Schizosaccharomyces pombe: one gene and its partner. Changing the gene in region 2 together with the main gene of any one other region gives a genetic interaction. Each region holds a gene or a part of one and is shown on either strand. Other genes may lie near its edges.

Region 1 (4,392 bases), on a different chromosome or scaffold from region 2:
TTACGCATTGAGCTAGTCGAATATTACTGGTACCCCTTCCATAATATGTGTATAAAGAATCGACTTCCGCGCCGCATTCGACGCATTTCATGGTGACGGGTGGTGGTGTCAATGTATTGAGGTATGTTTATGAACCAAACATTCGTATTCTTGGTTGACATGTAAAAACAATGAAGATATATAGAATTTAAAGAAAAAATGAAACAAGTAAGCTTATCTTTATTTGCATAGAAACATAAATACTAAAACTTATCCCAGAGTTCTACCAATTTTAAATTTTATTTGAACACTACCCAATTCCGTTAACAGACGAGTTGTAAAGCCAAAAAACCACCAATGTCAAACCTAAATTTTACAGTTCTTCAATAATATAAACAAATACTGCTTTCACTACATATTTAAAAGATTTGCGAAATAACCACGTCGATTCCAGCATAAAATCACTAACTCTCAAAACAATGCAGACTGACTGGAGCGAAAGAACGTAGTATAGACTTAGTCACATTTACAAGATTAAGCGTCTATTAAAAAGATTTTACAAAGGCTAAAATATTCGTAGAAATGAGAAACGTGAAAACAACATTCAATTGATTGAGCAATTTAAAAAAAGGTAGGTTTTTACTTTTCAGTACAACAAAAAAAAGTTTATTAGAAAAAAAATGTTAAGAAATAAATTTTGTACATGAAGCCAAATGCTGAATGAAATTAAAACAACGCTGAAAAAAAAAACCAGTCGACTGCGTAAAATGTATAAACGCATTTATTAAATGAGAAACCAGGATGTATTAACACAGCAAAACATACATCACAGGTAAATTAAATTTTTAATTAAAAGAATAATAAGTACAAAATGTCAAACAAAGAAGTCGTGAGCGACACAGGCTTGTCAAGCAACGAAAATAAACATTAAAAGAAAACGGAACGCAATCATGATTGTCTCATGAGAATTAAATAATAGAATATTAAACAATGCAGAATGGAAAAAGTTCTTTTTTAATGTACTCTTTTCTCGAGGCAAGATAAAAGGTACTCCGTTTGAACAATAACAGATGTAACAGAAAGATCATACTTTCCAGGAGCAGCATCAACTCTTGTAACAATTAGACCGATGACATGTTGAGTGTTTTGATCAAACCAAAGTGTTTCAGGTTGACCGGGTTTTATCGAATCAAGCCAATCCCGGCGGACACGAATAGGATCTTGAAAGCAAGAAAATATATCGGCTTGATGACGATCGCAGGAAGAACGAGACAAGGTAACGTGAATTCGAACATTGATATGGGGAGCAAGAAACTCCCCAGGGTATCGTTCAAAAGAAGCTAGATCCTCGTCGTCCTCAAAGGAGATTTGAAAAATAGAGGAGCAATTGTTAGGATCCAAGTGGAATACCGAATAACCATCATATTGTAAAGAATACAAACCGCGACGGGCAGACAAGTTGCAAATCGGTGAATCGGTATAGACATCCTTTGCAAAAACGCGAAGTGAATATTCGTCTAAGAAGGAAAGACGAGCACGAATGATCTTGTTGGCAATCAAAGTCAATGGATAACTGGCGAAGCTAGACTGGATAACGTCGTGTGCAGGTAAATACTGCATGACCGAGTCAATGACTTCTACTGGAAGCAGAGTAGAAGATGTTTGTTGAGCGTCGAAATTAACGTAGGAATTAGGTTGAAGGGCAGTCTGGGGTACAGACATGGGGGCTCTAGTAACACAGCTCATTTTTTACCAAACCAAAAAAAAAAAGGTAAGAAATAATTTAAAAAAAAAATCGGGCAATTAAGCTGAATAAATAAAGAGAATATAGCACCGATCGATGGAATGTGAATGAAATGAGATGATGGACGATTAACAAAACAAAATATTTCTATTTCGACCTATTCAAACCTCGATATGCGTTTCTATTATGAAGGAAAAAAGACAGTAAATTGTAAACAATTAAAGAATTAAAATGTCTAAACAAACAAGTAGCTCAAAAAGACGGAATTCCAAAATTAGTGAAAAAAGTAAATAAGCAAACTTCTTTTTCTAAAGCCAAGGAATGACTGTCAACGAGACTAGCAATGGGGAAACCTTGCAATTGAACGCTTTACGTCTCACAATACAAGCCTTGGTTTCTGCAGAATAGATGAAAGGAGATGCTCCTTTTTATAAACTAAAAATTTGGCCTTTTGCCTCCTCTCCCAACTGCCGATATCGTAATTAGAGTTGAAATAAAAATGTCCATTTTGAACCTTAAAGAACGAATGAACGAGCGCCAAGCAGTTATTCCATCAAACCGGATCAACTAAAAATGGCGCGAATGGATCTTGCTACTTTGAAGAGTGGAGATTGGTAAATAGTTAAGCGCAGGAAAAAGTTAGTTCATTCACTTGACCAACGAGTGCAGTATAAAGAAAAAACACTTTTCACTTTTCTTTAAACGACTTACGAAAATCATTTTTTTTTTTTTTTTTTGTTTTCAAACTTCTTGTTTTATTACCACCACCAACTTCTGCCAAATGTTCTGTACCACAAGTCCAGATCTGGATGATACAAAGACTCCTATTAAAAGCAGTTACTGCTCCACTCTACTGTTTTGACAGAAGGGGTTTTGCCTCAGGCCTCGTTACCAGGGAACTGCCGGTAAGGTCTTGGACAAAAAAAAAGCAATGCACTCATAAGGGTACTTGCGGAAAAACTCAAGTTACTGAAATCTATGGCAATGTAACAGCAACAATAACTACTCGTTATACAACAGTCCTGTAAACAAACCGCAGATGTAGTGGGCTACAGTACAACGTTAAAAAACAATGTCGAGTAGAGTTGTAAACAGCATTGCGCTAGTACTCAAGTAGGAGAAAGTAAAAGGATTATCAAGGCAATTAATTATAGGGAAAGAATGAGATGTACAATGCAACATTAGAATAACTAACTTAGAAAACAATGTACAAAACATAAAAATGAGAAGCACAAAAACATAAAACACTAGTACAACGTTAGAAGAATTGGATCCTATAGTGTCGTATAAAGGTAGAATGTTGTTCAAAAATGAATGTCGTGCGAAATAGAATAATATAGGAAGGAAGTTTTTAAGGAAAAAAAAATTAACAATAATTAAAGCAGAGCATAAATTAGGAGAATGCAGAACATACAATACAACAACAAAATAAAAATCAGCACCATCGACTTAGGAACGGTAGCCGAGTTTTGGTGCAGTCAATGTACATTTTCTACAATGTAGTATAAACGACTTTAACTATCAACGTGCGCACATTAGGGTAGAATTCTATCTAACATAAGCAAAGGCAATTCGGTTGACCCGTCCACCCATCCTTGTCTTCTAGTTCCATTAAGCAAACACATGCACGGCCGTAGACGGGTTCGCTCAATGTATAGACGTTCTGTATTCCTCCTTCCACCGTGCCAACAAAGCACGGCTGCAAGCAGGGCTGGGTTGAGAAAACCTCGTCAACTCGACGACCCGTGGAGCACCAGAAAACAAGGATTCCAAGGTAAAGGAGGGAGAAGAGTGTGTACTCGATTCTTTCGTAAACGATGCATGGATGGATGCTTGATTAGAAGGGGAAGTAGCAGGAGATGCATTTGCCGAACGTTGTTGACTAGACTTGATGCCTTGGTTAGTCCAAGATTCTTTGTTTTCGGTAGTTGGTGTTGAGCTCGAGGTAGCATCCGGTAGTGCAGGTTTTTCCGGCTCCACTGGTGATTCCTTGCTTAACGACTTTGTCCTTTCACTACCAGACACATTTCGTAACCCCACTCGATAATTGTTACCTGATCCAGTGCGTCGAGTAACAACCTTACTCTCTAAACTGGCGATGACCTCATTCACATTTGCCGATGGTGCAGCGGTCTGGAGGGGATCTGGGGAAATCACCGATGTGGAAGAGGTGGTGGGGGCTTGTTTTGATACAACATTAACTTGTTCAGTGGGTGTCTTTGTGGAGGAGTCTACAGCAGCAGGCGACTTGGAGGCGGAGAAGGACAAGGGGGATGAGACTTCAACATTGCCACCATTTTCTTTGGCATCCTGGGCAAGAAAGGGTGACTGAGCAATTCGTGGCTTTGTGCGTACTGGCTGTTGGGATGATTTGGATGGTTCCTTTGATGCAGTGTCTTTGGCAGGAGTAGCGGGCTGAAGAAAGGCTTGCATAACATTCTTCACCGTACCAGCCGCTGGCTTTACATCGACATTCTCTTCGTCTGAAGTCTCATTGTTTTGCGGTAAAACCTTCGATTCTAAGAACGGGGTATTTTGGGCTTGCTTAATTCGTTCAGCGATTGACAACGAAGAGTATGGTATTGGAGAAGTCGATCCTTCACGCTTCTCTGCCTTAACTACCATTTCGGGTGTGCTTGCTCCCCTATCGCTATTTGAAGCACTAGTAG
Region 2 (4,120 bases):
TGTACAGTTACTGTGATGTTTTAAACAAAATATCCTCCAAGCTCGGTCTTGTTGAGCATCAGGTCTTTTAAATGAATACTTCAAGTTATGTTTCATTATATTCTATATCCACCTTATTTAACTTCCTCATATCCTTGTTACTATTCTTATCTAGTTTCCGTTGGCATTTGGCTTTGCTGACGAGAATGTGTTATATCTAAGCTTTATTTAAGGGAATATCACTTGGTCATACATAAATTGCATTATAAATTTCAATTAGCATAGTATCTACATTTTATGATAAGTGTTACATGTTTCCATTAAAACAAAATTAAATCTATCCGCCCTTTGTATGCTTACCGATTTCTTTCATACAATTAGATTTTTTGTAATACTAGTATATTAGAGGAGCTAGTTTTCATTGCTGTCTGTGGATGATCCCTCAACATATACGGCTTTATATACCTCTTATAGAATACGAATGACAAATAGAATATTTCAGTTTATCATGTAACAATGCTATTAAAAACATAAGTTGCCGTTATTTAAAAGAGCATGGCGAGACAAGATAGTACCACCACCGATTTACTTTCACCAACTATTGTAAACTAAGAAGTCAAATTTTGGTGGAATACAATTAGCAAATGTCACGGGAAATGGATCTATTGTTTAAGAACGAAATGACTATTTCGCATCAGAAAATAGTAATGATGCTATTCATAAAACCGTATGCAGATGTGAATATAAAAAAGTAGTCTATGGCTGTTAAATTCTTAAGATGCGAAAGGTAATAATTCTTTTCTAATTACTCATTCCTCTCTAATGTATACACCAACAACAACAAAAGAATTGTTTTATAGCTGTAGACAATGCGACGAACAATTTGTTAAATATGGAAAACCAGGACAGCTTCATCAGAAATTAGGTTAAAGATCTGTAAAAAGCTTATTTATGCTTATTGCACCAAAAAATATATAAATGAAAACATAAACAGCGGCTGTTAAAAGCCTATTAATTAAATACCAAGTTTCAAATGAAGACACATTGCTCAGCTATCTTCGTCTTCTCTATAATTATAGATGTGCTTTTCGCGATGCCCAGACCTCGCAACATTTCCAAAATTTTTAGGGTTTGTCCTTCCAGGAAAATCTTCAGTGCTTTTAAATATACTAGATTCTCCAATCTTCTTTCGTTTGCCAACGCGTCCAGTTTTTACACCTCGAGCAGCAAACTGTTTCCAAGAATTTTGTGATGCTTCAAGTGCTGCTTTAGGTTTTAGTTGTTTTTGCTGCTTTTGGGAGTATGAAACACTAGGAACAGGTGGAGGGTTAGAGGGAGGAATGGGAGAGATCTTTGGTAGGGTTGAAACATGCTGAGCGACATTTTGGATCGGAGATACGTTAGCCGTTACAGCCGCCGAACTCTTCATATCTGGAGAAGAGGCACGAGACGCATAATTGGAAGGACTTGTAGACATAGATGCTACAGATATTGCTTTTGTAGGCTCTCTAACAGGTGTACTACGTATAGTGGTAGATTTTTTGAGAATTTCTTTATTTCCTTCTATTTCCTGACGTTTTTCCTCAGGCATGGCCTTAATATGTTTGAGGGAAACAGTTTCAATGTCAGGATAGTCAAGAAATTGTACTGTGTACTTTTTGTTTGCACCGAAGCCTGAAACAGCAGTAATACGTGAAGGATAAAATAAATAATCTCCTGAAACCCATCGGGCCATTACTAAATTTCCAGGCGTAAAGTCGATATGTACTGGCTTTGAAGTATTGAAACCTGCAACACCATTTTGGGAATTTTGAAACGTATTTTTATCATTTTCTACACTTTCTTGTAGTAAGTTTTCAGTAAGGCTAATTAATTCCTTTAAATCATTTTCCAGTAACTGTAATTCCTCGTTTTGGGGAGTCTTCTGAAGAGAAATTTGAACGAGAGCAAGCTGGCTCTTGTATTCCTCTAATTCCTTCTCCATACGATTACTTTTATAGATTTAATAGATTTTTTTTTCAAACAGTAAAAATTTCCAAGTGTAATGGCTTTATCGCCAAAACCGGTTGTAAGTGTAGATAATATGTGAAGCAGGCGCTCAGTGAAGTGCCTGAAAATTAAGCTCAGCTATTACACTAGGGTGAAGAAAACAATATTGGAGTGAGATTAAATTTATACTAAAAGCACTAATTCTTTAACTCAATATACTAAGACATTATTGATAATAGTTAAAACAAAGAAGAATATTTGATATTTCTATATTCAGTATAATCAAGACGTAAAAGAAAGTATTCTATCAAAAATTTCATGCTCTCGAAAACTATGGATGGGTAAAAAGAACTGGATAATCAAGTATTTTCGAGGTTCGTTTATGGCGTGCATGATATCGATTAAAGGCATTGAACGTTTAATGCCGCATAATGGAGGATAAATTATTAATCCAGAAGACAATATGTTTCCGAACTCCAAGCATTCCTTCTTTATATGAATTTATTATTTTCTAGGTCAGCTAGAAGCAATGGCATTAGGAGGTACTATAATTTAACGATTTCACTCGTATATCTTTAAAATTTTGGAGTAAATGAAATTCTTACAAAACAGTTTTACTAGGACCATAAGATCGATCCATAAAGACCTTCGAGACTTCCCAGGCAAGCCAATCGCTGGTAGTCGTTGGCAATAATCCCATTCTTTGCAGCTTATAGACTCCAATCCCCATAAGCAATAATTGGAATAAAATATAAGCACCCATAGCGGGCCAAAGGGTTCCTGGGTGGGTGCCTTTAAATGGGGTGAAGGCAGATCCTGTAGATGTTATTGCTTTCAGTGGATTTACAAGCAACATAAGAGTCGTCATAATACTGAAAATTTGTAGTGAATTACCAGACATGTATGCTAAAATAGCGTTCATAGGAATTTGTTTAAGGGGGGAATATGCAAGCTCCCATGCTTTCTTTAGTAAGAGATCCTTTTGTAATTCTTCCTCTCGTTTAGCAAATATGGAAGTTGAGGAAGCTGAATTTCCTGAATGAATGTTTTTGGAAACCAACGACTTCTGTTGAAATCCTCGAGGCGTAGGGAACTTGTCAGAATTGTCAACGATCTTTTTGGGCTTCTTTGCTAACGCTGGTTTGACCAAATCGATCCAATCTGTTTCTTCGTTAATGTGCATCTTGAAAGGGAAAAAAGAGAAATTTAAAGTTGCGACTAAATTTTTGGACTCGTAAACCAAGGAATAAATTTAGTCAATGAATGAAAAGCCTGATTGCAGCTAACCTACAGTCAAAAAGTATTGGTAGCACCTCAATTATGTTTCTAAAATACGAAGACCAGCCTTATTTGATGTTTCTGAAACAAGATATTTCACCAGAAGTCAATCTCAGTTTTTCGTTATTTGATGTAAGTTGGGTGGTAGAACAATCTTTTCAAGCAAATTAATAACTTTGGTTGAAGTTAAAAATTTTCTGGTCTAAATAATTTGAGAACACGCCTCAAAATATAATATTTCAAAATAAACAATATAGTGGAGGTGGCAGATGCTAAGGAACGAAACTGGTGGTAATAGTGAAAAGCCCATCAGCTAATGAATCCCAAAAATACAAGCGCAAACAATGGCAAAAAGAAAGCCATCCTGTTATAAAAGTTCAAGATTAACTTGCTTTTGTGCTTTCTTTGGTTTTCTACTGTCTCATGGCCCGGATATGAATATGTACAACGCTTAAACATCTAATGTTAATGATTTCTTGTTAATTATCAAACCCAACGATCATTATTGATTACAGCTGGAATTAGTTTTGGTTTCTTTTATGGATATAGGATCTTGATCTTGAAAAAGTTCTGACTCTTTATCTTACAATGGTAATACCATGCTCAATGATTGATATTTTTACACTGAGATGTTTTCAAATATTCAATGGATAAAGAACATATCGTTTTGTAACTTTTTAAGCATAATCTCGTTAGCCAAGCTATTACATAAACAAAGATCGGATACAGTATGAAAGTACTCATGGTGTAAATATTTAGGAAGACGTGTTTTGGAGGGCACTCTTTGTGAGAATTTTTTTCTTATTCTAGAATATGAGTTTTAACATATTGCCGCAAGCCCAAAATTGAGTTGTACGACTCAATATACTCTGCC

The links.
Region 1: mutations in spf30 (region 2) and pof15 together harm fitness more than expected from each alone (negative genetic interaction), as found in Schizosaccharomyces pombe (one large-scale study listed by BioGRID).

What each region holds. Positions count from the first base shown.
Region 1 is NC_003424.3:1,888,253-1,892,644, reverse strand, and holds pof15 (F-box protein), read right to left. Parts: upstream 2,123-4,392; 5' UTR 1,726-2,122; coding exon 994-1,725; 3' UTR 555-993; downstream 1-554. Other genes in the region: Arv1-like family protein Arv1, read right to left, coding at 5-91; SPOM_SPAPB1A10.13 (uncharacterized protein), read right to left, coding at 3,371-4,392. UniProt on the Schizosaccharomyces pombe protein: Probable substrate recognition component of a SCF (SKP1-CUL1-F-box protein) E3 ubiquitin-protein ligase complex that mediates the ubiquitination and subsequent proteasomal degradation of target proteins.
Region 2 is NC_003421.2:1,381,463-1,385,582, forward strand, and holds spf30 (splicing factor Spf30), read right to left. Parts: upstream 2,083-4,120; 5' UTR 1,964-2,082; coding exon 1,028-1,963; 3' UTR 593-1,027; downstream 1-592. Other genes in the region: chaperone EMC4, read right to left, coding at 2,570-3,151. UniProt on the Schizosaccharomyces pombe protein: Involved in spliceosome assembly.